3 linked regions of the Danio rerio genome follow. The protein of the gene in region 1 purifies or fractionates together with the protein of each later gene. This does not show direct contact. Links are inferred from orthologs where the notes say so. Each region holds a gene or a part of one and is shown in the gene's direction. Other genes may lie near its edges. The genes, in order: atxn2, lsm12a and pabpc4.

Region 1 (3,757 bases):
TTCTGTGGACCTTTTTACAGTTATTTAATTTCTAATAAATTATAAGGTTCAAATATGGCATTTTAAGTGACATTTTCAAGCACTAATCTTTGTTGGATTAGCTTTTCGGATGGTCATCAAAACCACAATCTTTGATGGAACAAAAATATTTCCTTTAATTTTGTCAGAAATGTTCACTATACTATTTTACCATGTGCATTTAAACTGTACGTTATTTACAGTTTTCTTTCGAACCACCCGAAGCACCCTGGCTACAGACCTGTACAAAGAATCTACATTTTTACATTATCAACTTTATTGTGTAAGATTTATAGGCATTTTTCCTTTTTTTTTCTTATCTAAATTATTTAGGTCCACATATGACAAGTTTATGAGTATTTGTGCATTCAGGTTAAAACCATTGACTTCTATTTTCTTTTTCCACTATTGAAGTTAATCGTTACAGATTTTTAGCTTTCTTCAAAATATCTTCTTTTCCTGAAGGTTTGAAACCAAATGAGGGCGAGTGAATTTTGAGTAAATTTTTATTTTTGGATGAACTATTCATGTAATTTCAAGTTAATTACATATTTTAAATCACAAAAAAAAAAAAAACTAAAACATACACAAAGAGGAAAATGAGTCAATGGAAAAACATTGTTTAGTTGACCATATTTAGATCAAGGGTTACATGAGGATAACGCTTTATTTAATAATTGCTTAAAATCTCAAAGCAGAGAGTAAAATAGTGTATATTAATTAGATTACTGTTTTAAATATTAAACTCGAAGAAATAAAACTAATCAGAACAACTAGGCCAAATAGAGCTTGAAGAATTTAACTGTATATATTTCACCACCAGTCACCTGGTCTAGCGCCAAAGCACACACGCACAAAGTGATCAGTGCATCTTCTGAAAATAGTGCGCTCGACATATGCGCATCATTCCTCAAATCTAACATTCATCCATTTCTAATATTATCTGAATAGTGTATTACGTTCTTAGAATATTTACAATAACTATTGACGATCATTTCTTCTGGAACCAATAAAACCATCAATAGGAGTACACACATTCCTGGGATGTGTATATATCCTTCCGCCACTTTTTGTGGCTTTTCAGACTGTTTAGGTCTATCGGTCAGTGCTGAAGCCCCGCGTGAACTGTGTATATCACTGAAAATACCGCACTAAAAATAACAAAATAGCGAAATTACCGGGTTGGTATTTTTGTAGACATCTAAAACATATGGGTCGTCCGCGCTTTGCTTTTAAAACGGGCTGAATTGTCTCTGTTTAGGAGGAATTAATCAGCAGAGCTAGCTGAAGTAGCAGGCAGCGTCAGTGGAGACTCGAGTAACTGGAGGAGCAGTTTTACACGTTGGCTGTCACTAGATCAACTGTCAGCTAACACGTCAAATAGCATTTTCCGCTCTCGTCCGCGGCATCAAACGTTTTTTTTCCAAACAGTCAGACAACTCTGCTCAAGCTGTCGTTTATGGGATCATCATGTCCATGAAGCCGCAGGCCGGTGGTAATCGCAAACCCGGCGGAAGCAACAGCGGAGCCGCTGCGGCCTCCGGTACCGGGGGAGCAGGAGGAGGCGTCGGACGCCAGAACATGGGCAGGTGGGTGACCAATCTGCATAACAGGCTTTTAATTCGGATGGACCGACGAGCGTGAACCAACACGGGAATGCGGCATGCCTGCACTAGTGTCGTAGTTTAAAAACGCAGGTTGTGGAGTTGCAGTGATCAGGATAGAGCGCAAGTAGGCCGATATAGGCCAAGTTCACAGGACAGGGATTCACAGGTTAATGGACGCAAACTACTGCGGTTATAAAATAACAGCTGATAGCGGACAACATGTTCGTGTATATTTCGAGAGGGGCGGGTTGTCTGCTGTGGGTGCTGGTCACGTTCAGGATGAATTGTGCGTCTTTGCCGGTGGGATATGGCTGTGCCAGCTTTTCCCAGGACAGATGCTTTTGTATCGTGTCGGAATCTGTTATAGGATTGAACGTGTTTGACATTTTAGTCACTTACAAAGAAATAATCTGAGAGTCATAACGTTACAGTGGGTATAGAAGCAAGTGTTAGCCTGCTAACTACTGTAGCAAACATTTATCTGCTCATACTGTCAGAAATCTGTCTAATTTAACAGGATTTAAAGTATGTTTTGTAGATTAACATCATTCAGGTTTTTGGTCATTATGTAATCGAGAGATCATAGTTTTTCTACAACGTTTTACCAATTGCTTCTGATTTGTGTCAGTCCAAACAAAAAAGGGTTGTTTGCTACAGATAACGTTACCTAGTTTTATGCTTTTATCTTCCCGTCAGCTGATTTGTAACCTCTTCTGAGGTGCCCCTGAATCGATGTTTTGGGAATTCATCATCCATTATGAGATGTCACATGTTAGCTCTCTGTTTGACTATTGACAATGACATTAACTCAGCGTCCGATTTAGATTTCTTGAATTCCGTTAGCTGAGGGCCACTAGGTCGAATCTGCGTGTTTCCCGTTACTTTTCGATTGATCCTTCATGTTGGAACTATCTGTCAGTCGCGTGCATTTCCGATGAGGGGCGGCGCGCGCGCTCACGAGGACAAGCGCTTAGTAGAGTGGAAAGTCAGAGAGCTGCACTCTCAACCTTGACGTTTACAAGAGGTTGCATGCATAAGTCTGTCCTTGCATAATGACGTTTGAGTAAGTATGTTGTGTAGAGGTGTGACAGACGAATGTTATTGTCGTGGTTTGTGTTGAGCTGTCATGAATGAAGAAATTAACAGTGGAAACTTTTAATCTAACAGCTGAGAATTGGCATCACATAGTTGCACACTGCATGGGGAAAATGTGATTATTGTTTACGCAAAACAACAAGAGTGATATGACTTGTACAAGATTGTGGGAATCTTGAGTGGTGCAGTGGAGCCTTTCACTGCCTGTAATGCAGCACTTGATTTGCAGCCTGGCTGTTGAAAAATAATTGTCATTCACAGCTTTTATCTTACTAATGTATTTTAATGTACTAGATGCTGATAGTTTTTGCCTAATCTTTGAGCACTGAACTTATTTTGCTGCACATTAGAGATCTTGTTGAAATTTTGTCCAACACATTGAAAGCTTTACAATTCAGAATCTGTCATATGTTTGAGGTATATGGCTGTTAGTGGATATGAGTCACGTACTGTCAGTAAAATGCAGATTTTCTTTTTAGAGTCTGTTGTTTGGGAACTACATAAGTGCTTCTTTGCACAATGAATTGCATGAAGCATATGATTATTTGTCACTCCTTTGTCATTACAGCTTTGAGTGTTTGCCAGTACATGTGCAATCGATAACCCTACTGGAATCACTTGAATTTGTGTTCGTAGGAGTGTGTGACTTTTTTTGCTCTTTAAACCGTGTGTACAGCATGTCAAAGATTTTCTGTGTATGCATATGGTTATAGTTCAACTGTTATAAAACTTCTCAGTCATGCTGTTTTCTCTCCTCCCAACAGAGGACGCAACAATGCCAAAGGACCCTCTACTGCAGTGAGTTTCGGCTTTTCTTTTTTTCATTTATTCATAGTGTAAATTTATTAAATTGATTCGCATACAAATTTATATTCCCTGTTGAATCATATATACAGTGCTCAGCTTAATTGAGTACACCCCGTTTCGAAAATAAATATTTTTATCCATTTCTCAGTAAATATAGGCAATGTAGTTTGGTGCATTTAAACAAAACAGGTTTATTAAACAGATGTATTTATTAAAGTTATATTTTAGTC
Region 2 (3,757 bases), on another chromosome or scaffold:
AATTATTAGCCCCCTTTTTATTTTGTTCCCCAATTTCTGTTTAACAGAGAGAGTTTTTCAACACATTTCTAATGATTATAGTTTTAATAACTCATCTCTAATAACTGATTAATTTTATCTTTGCCATGATGACAGCAAATAATATTTGACTAGACATTTTTCAAGACTCTTCTATACAGCTCAAAATGACATTTAAATGTTTGCTTATGTTAATTAGGTTAGCTAGGCAGGTTAGGGTAATTAGGCAAGTTGTTGTATAATGATGATTTGTTCTGTAGAATATCAAAAAAATATAGCTTAAAGGGGCTAATAATTTTCACCTTAACATGTTTTTTAAAAGATTAAAAACTGCTTTTATTCTAGCCAAAATAAAACAAATAAGACTTTCTCCAGAAAAAAAATATATTATCAGACATTCTGTGAAAATTTCCTTGCTCTGTTAAACATCATGTGGGAAATATTAAAAAAAAAAAAAAAAAACTCTAAGGGGGCTAATAAGTATGATTTCAACTATATATATATATATATATATATATATATATATATATATATATATTTTTTTTTTTTTTTTTTTTTCATATAAAAATGTTTGAGATAACCTTTTAATGTATTTAATGATGCATGTGGCACGTTTTTTTCTGCATAACACTAAATGTTAAAACAAAATAGCAAACCTAAAGGCTATATATATATATATATATATATATATATATATATATATATATATATATATATATATATATATATATATAATCTCAAAGAAAATAAATAAAATAAATGAACAAGTGTTTTAAAAATATCTAAACTTTTTAAATAAAAACTATTATCGCTATTATTTGACATTTTTTGTTCAAATATTTTTTTTATAAAAATATGACAATAATATTTTATTCTAAATACATAATATAAACAGCAAATAATTACTGTATTTTACTGTAAGTGATGCAAATAAATATTTTTCTGATTTAGACAAAAAGGCATAACAAATGGCTATGATAGCAGGTTTTCCCCACTGTTTCAAATTTCAGTCATTTTAAACAGACTTTTTCTGAAAGAGAAAAAAACACCTCATTCAGGTGCCAGAAGATAACCGCTGTCTCCCATATCATTTCAAAATACTCGTCCGAATAAAGCAGGAGGCGCGGATGAATGAGTGCTGTAGTAAATATATTCACGATCCACTACTCCATAGTAAAGTGGGCGTGACCTCGCTTGCGGCGGGTTTTTTTTGCGTCACTTCATTCATTCACACGCCACGCCCACCCACTCGCGCTCCCATCCCGTGCTGACGCGGCTGCGCGTGTTTACGTGCAGCGACTGCTCCGTTTCCTGGCGGAGAAGATGGCGGCTCCTGGACCAGGAGAGTATTTCAGCGTCGGGAGCCACGTCTCCTGCCTCACCTGCCTGGGGCAGCGCTTGCAAGGAGAGGTCGTCGCTTTCGACTACCCGTCCAAGATGCTGACGTTGAGTATCCTTTTGTCGTCGCGGCTTGTCATTGAATCGTCGGGATTCACAACTGTTAGAGGCCTGGTTTGTCAAAGAGGTTTGCTGCGGGGTGAAGTGAGTCCACCAGGCATTCGCTTCCGTGTTTCGCGCATGTCGAGTCAGGTGGTGCTCTTTTGGATCTGCGATTGGTTGCCACGTTTATAACTATGGCTTTTAGTTGATGGCCTGCAAATATTAGCACACATTTGGACTCGGGCGATAGGAAATGTAGATTTACTTTGATGTTTTTCAGCAATGTTGTGTTTTAGACGTCGTGTAAGAGCTTTTGTGTAGTTCTACTGGGTCCTCATGTTCAGAAAACACTCGAAAATGTCTGACAAGAATGCTGTAATGAATATTTCCTAACTTAGATGTTTTATAGATTGTTTGATTGCTGGTCGGTTTAGCTCGTGTGTATAAATTGTGCGGTTTTAACGCTCACAGAGACCACATGGAATTGACATTATTTTTGCTGCGGGGTTTTTGATTCATTCAAATGAGTCGAATCTTTTGAATCAACTCCCTTGTCGTTTCTGTAGATTCTGTTGTCATTGGTGGTAGCAGAGTGTGTATAAGTATTATTTATATTTCATAGTACGTATGCCACTTGCTCTTATATTAGTGTAATTGTCATTTTAATGTCACATAGTCGTCTATCATGTTTGCGAGTCCCTAAAGCTTCCCACATTAACACATGCAATACATTAAACTTACTGTTTGACATATTATTTTGTTGGAAAGACAACGAGATTGTGCACTGAGGTGAACTAGAATGATTCGTTTACATAAAAGATGCTCAACTTGACTCAGTCGACCGGGTCCACGAATCGTTTGCCTGATTCATTAACGAACATACAATGATATTAAACAGCTGTGGAAATAAGGCATGTAAATCCAGAAATGTCTGCAAAATTATTAAATCTAGCCCTATTTAGAAACCTATGGTGCTTGTCTCCTAAACAGGAGGGTTTGGCGCGTTTATTTCCAGCATCAGTCTTAGTCACTAATGGAGGTGAATGAGAGTGGACAGGCTGTCAAGCACACATTGCTGCTTTTCCCCGCACGCTTCTACGCATGCGTGCTCAGGGGGCGTCAGCTAGCTTGCCTTGAACGCTAACGTCTCTCTGCCTGACGTGCAGTAGTATGTGTAATGTGCACATCACAATTAGGCATTCTAGTTTGCGTTTTACATGCATCATTCTCTATTTTTATTATGGTTTTGGTCATGACGAGTGGTTTTCTTGCTAACCTGCTAATGTGCAGCCATTCATTTACATTAAGTCACTTCATGTCATACTATTTAATTTAGTCGTTTGTACTAACTTATATAGGGAGAAAATCTTATATAAATATACGTATAATATAAGCATTATATTTAATATTGTATTGTGAGATTACTCTTTCAGATGGTTGGCCTAGTCATGTATTTTATTGGTTTACACAAGTGATGATTAACCATCTTCACAAGTCTCTATTAACTGAATAGTTTTGACCAGACTGACATCTGTATATGTGGAGCTTTCCAGAATCAGTAAGGACAAGCTTCTATTTTATTCGTTTAACATGTAAACACACTCTTTGCAGCTCAGCAATTAAACAGACAAACAAATGGTTTCTCTGTTTGAGGGATTCGTCCCAACCTTCTGCATCAGGCCGTACTCACACTATGTACAGTTGCCTCGAACCGGGCCAAAGCACGCTTGTCCCCCCTCTCGTCTCCCCCGACGGCCCGCACTCACATACATCCGGGCCTGGGCACGCTTACATCATTGCTGCTGCGCTGTTCAGTGAGCGCTCTCGCTCAGCACAGTGGAGATTTCTCTAGTTATATTGTTTAAGTAGTATGATATGCAGTGTTATGCAGTCAAATATTTCGCCAAACTCTCCTTAGGGATGCGGTGACACGCAGTCAGATATTTCGCCGAACAGATCTGCCAACAGTCATGAAGTCCTCGTGCTGCAGGAATGAGGAGGTGTGCTGAAGGTGCTCAGCTGTCGTGCATTGAGGTGTCTGTGTATTTAATAAACTATGGCAGTTTGTGTTCATTGAACAGTAAGATTGATTAAAAAATCCATGAAACAGTCCCTTAAAGTCACGTCTTGCTTTCAGTTTTGGGCTTTGGCGCATTTTGCACTCACAAACGTACCGCGCCAAAGCCCAAGTTAACCATGCTCAGGCCCACCTCTTCCAACTGGGCCAGTGCCGGCCAAGTGTTCGGATAGCATAGTGCGATTAGGCCCTCAGTTGTCCATCAATTTTTTTTGTATTGAT
Region 3 (3,757 bases), on another chromosome or scaffold:
TCAATACCTTACTGACTCGTTCTGTTTGTATTTCCCCTCTTATGATCTCAATTTACTCACCGTGCCTAGGACACGCCTTAAACTACATGATCAAGCATATTTTGCTGGTCCTAAAGTCTGGAACACTCTACCAATTCACATTAGACTTTTTTTTTTTTTCCCCCTCCATTTTTGTTTAAGTCATGTTTTAAAGACCTATCATTTTTTATTATTTTTTTTTTAAGCTTTTAATACTTCTTGATTATTGTTTTATTGCTTTTTTTTTTTTTTGTTTCTTTTATATTCTTTCTTCACTGCCTTTAGTACTCTTATGTACAGCACATTGGATGTTTTTAAATGTGCTTTATAATTAAATTTTGTACTATAATGTTTTAATTTCCAAGACCTGTGTGCATAATGAACTCTTCTGAACTTTTTTTTTTTTTTATTGTTAAAATAACAGTATTTACTATTTAGAATGGTTGATCCCTCTTTAAATAGGCAATTATTTAAACAATTCTATATTTTATGTGTAGTGTGAAAGCAATCTGAATATTTGCCATGATAAGGTTCAGTTGACCGTCCAGCTTCAACTGCAATGCTTTCACTATCATTCACATATTGTATGATTTTTTGTATGCACAGATGTTTTTGTTTATTTATTAGTTCTGTCAGGACGACTTTTATCAAAGTTAACTGTGCTGTACACCGCATGCTCGGGGCTCGTGTTTTTTCTGTTATCCCGACTGTGACCCTGCTCCTATTTCCTCCGCTCGAGCTATAAAGTGCTCGTGCGTTTCCCACGCACCCTCTTTCCCCGGCCACCACACCGTGAGTGTATAACTCACTGTTCTTCAGTACCTTTAAAAAAAGAAAAAAAAACATATAAAAAATACAAAATAACGAAAATCTCAAAAAATAACTACAAACCAAACAACGTTTTTTAAAGAAAAAACTTTTTTTGTTTTTTAAAAGACGAGGTCTCGATCTACCCAGTGGTTTTCTGCCAGTTCCTCCGACCGGACTCATATGCTGTAGCTGTCACTGCTGCCGAAATCGTTTATTCGGGGAGAAGCGTAAAAGTTTAATAGAGGATTAAGAGACTCATTTGTCCCACTGGTTCTCGGACACTCTTTACGCACTGTCATTTCAGCACTAGACAAACACACGGGCTCAGAGGCTTGATCGACCCCGAGACATGAACGCAGCGACCGCGGGGAGTTATCCGATGGCTTCTCTTTATGTGGGCGACCTGCACCCCGATATCACGGAGGCGATGCTGTATGAGAAATTCAGTCCGGCCGGCCCGGTGCTCTCCATCCGCGTGTGTCGGGATATGATCACGCGGCGCTCGCTGGGCTATGCCTACGTCAACTTCCAGCAGCCTGCGGACGGTAAGACACTACACACAGCACCCTTAAACAGGATCCCTATGGCTGTCGAATAACGGGAATATTCTGTCATGCTTTGTGTTTTACTGTAAGGGACACTGGAGGTGATGTGTAGTGCGCGCGCGCTGTCTCCTCCTGTCCTGTGTGCTGTCACATGTGTTTCTGAATTGCCCACATCATGTTGATCTTCACTCGTCTCTTCCTTAACATCCTTAAACATGCCCTAATATATTGCCTAGGTTTATCCCCTAATAAAGCTCATTGTGTGAAAGTCAGGGTTTACTGACTGTGACTGTCACACCGCATTATGCCCAGCTATTATGGCAAGCTGCTTTAACATTTAGCCCTTTAAATAGCCTACTATTCTGTTACGTTATTCGCCTGGTATTAAAATTATTATGTTAACACTATATTTCTCTTTTCAAAAAATAGTACCTGATTGTATTAGACTAATTATTTATATACTACTATTCACACTATTTCAAATAGCATTTGATAACTAATTCCATTGCTGTTAGTATACAATATTGCCATTTTGATCTTTGGGGATCAGTAGATCTAAATTTGTTATGTGATTATAACAGTAGGCCTATATTCCAAATGTTGGTAGATACCCATTGCAGTTTAAACCTCCATAAGGGTACATACTTTAGTTTATGATCTATACAGTAGTCACTAGGCTATTTGGTACCTGCATTTACAAGAATTTTACTTTTTATTTCTATTATATAATAAGAAAACAACAAATTTGAAAGTATTTCTCTGTTACTGTAATTTCGCATTAGTTGTTTTCTTAGTGTTTCACTAACTTAAACTTAAAACTTTCACTAACGTTAAACTTTTGTTATCAAGGTTATGACTGTAATTAAGACTTTCATTATGACTCTCCTCAATCTTGTAGTTTAAACTTTAGATAGCAACACAAAGGTCATAGGTTCGATTTCCAGGGAATTAATGAATTGGTGAAAAGTGCAAAGTGTGTACAGTAATGCCACAATAAATTTAAGTTGCTTAGGGTAAAAGTATCTGCTGAGGTAGGCTACTATTAATTACATCTTAATTACTTTTAAGCAGTACTTATGACTATCTTCAATAAATAGTTTGTAGAGGATGCAGGTAATAATGCCATATCATATAGGTTTGGTTTCCAAGGAATAATTGGACTAATAAATATCAATCAACTGATAATGATATTGGAATGCAATTAAGTTTTTTGGTGAAATGTCTGCCAAATGTATTCCAGTTTTACTATCAGTAGCCTTCTAGTAATTACAAGTAGACTAATTTCAGCATCTGAAGTTTTTATTCCCATAATCACTCTTGGCTTGCTGCCTCTGGGATTTGAATGGGACTAACAATGTGTATTTTAGAAAAGCGCCATTGAAATATGCTAAAATGAACAAATATTAATCAAACTTGCTATGCAAATAAAGCCTGTATCATTCCTGTTGTCTGGAAGTAATAATTAATAATACAAAGGTTATGAAGGATGGCATGTACATATGAATCATTTATACCATGCGGACCATTTATACCCAGTGGAGGACAGTGAGCTTGCTTAGTCTTGTCCAATCATGAAAAACATCTATGTGTAGAAAGCCATTTACACATTCTGTTCACATTTTGCCTGAAAAAATGATGATACAATTACTAAAGGTTTATTTAAAGCTTATCACTCTATAGAAGTGAGCAGTCTCAATTATTGCCTGTAAGCAGAATAAAGGATTAGATTAGAGTTGAATGTGACCCACATAGTGGAAGTGCCCTAAATCTACCTTAACCCTTATGGTATGAGGCATTTTACACAGAAAGGGAAGCTGATCATTAGGATCTTTCCATATTTGAGCTCTCTTAAGAACACTAGGTATATCCAGGGGAATGGTGTTTGTGTGTATGCGTGTGTGTTATCCCCTCCTGACACTTTAAATAGCACAAATAGGTCAAGTCAGGTTGCAAAATGTGGGCGAATACCATTGTGAAGAATCTTTATTTCACAATCTAAAAGTTCAAATGAGACAAGAATAAGTGTTATACAAGTGGCATATTTCACCAATTCTGTCATCATTTACTGACCCTCTGCTTGAGTTTACTTCTTATGGTAAAGACAAAAGAAGCTATTTTGAAGAATGTTGGTAACCGGTAGCCATTGAGTTCTATAGTGTTTTTTCTTACTATGGAAGATTGACCCTTTTCACATTTTCAGGTTTCTTAGTAGCGGAAGCCATCATAGGTGGAACAATTTTGAGCGCAGTGAATGGGAGAATAAAACAAATCTTTTTTTTTTACAATCTTATTTGCTCAATTAAAAGAAAAACTCCACGATGGTGTTATCAAGACTTTCAGAAAATGGAAAAAAGTAGTGTGAGACTGATGATGGCAGCCAGAGG

Evidence for each region.
Region 2: the proteins of atxn2 (region 1) and lsm12a purify together in Homo sapiens (affinity purification with mass spectrometry; 4 studies listed by BioGRID and IntAct, with this or other methods). This does not show direct contact. The link is inferred for Danio rerio from reciprocal best matches to the Homo sapiens genes ATXN2 and LSM12.
Region 3: the proteins of atxn2 (region 1) and pabpc4 purify together in Homo sapiens (affinity purification with mass spectrometry; 4 studies listed by BioGRID and IntAct, with this or other methods). This does not show direct contact. The link is inferred for Danio rerio from reciprocal best matches to the Homo sapiens genes ATXN2 and PABPC4.

Annotation. Positions count from the first base shown.
Region 1 is NC_133180.1:42,591,909-42,595,665, reverse strand, and holds the start of atxn2 (ataxin-2), read left to right. Parts: upstream 1-1,100; 5' UTR 1,101-1,488; coding exon 1,489-1,607; intron 1,608-3,484; coding exon 3,485-3,518; intron 3,519-3,757. UniProt on the Homo sapiens protein: Involved in EGFR trafficking, acting as negative regulator of endocytic EGFR internalization at the plasma membrane.
Region 2 is NC_133178.1:21,729,637-21,733,393, forward strand, and holds the start of lsm12a (protein LSM12 homolog B), read left to right. Parts: upstream 1-1,333; 5' UTR 1,334-1,341; coding exon 1,342-1,468; intron 1,469-3,757. UniProt on the Homo sapiens protein: Nicotinic acid adenine dinucleotide phosphate (NAADP) binding protein. Confers NAADP sensitivity to the two pore channel complex (TPCs) by acting as TPC accessory protein necessary for NAADP-evoked Ca(2+) release.
Region 3 is NC_133192.1:26,716,352-26,720,108, reverse strand, and holds the start of pabpc4 (polyadenylate-binding protein 4), read left to right. Parts: upstream 1-995; 5' UTR 996-1,177; coding exon 1,178-1,373; intron 1,374-3,757.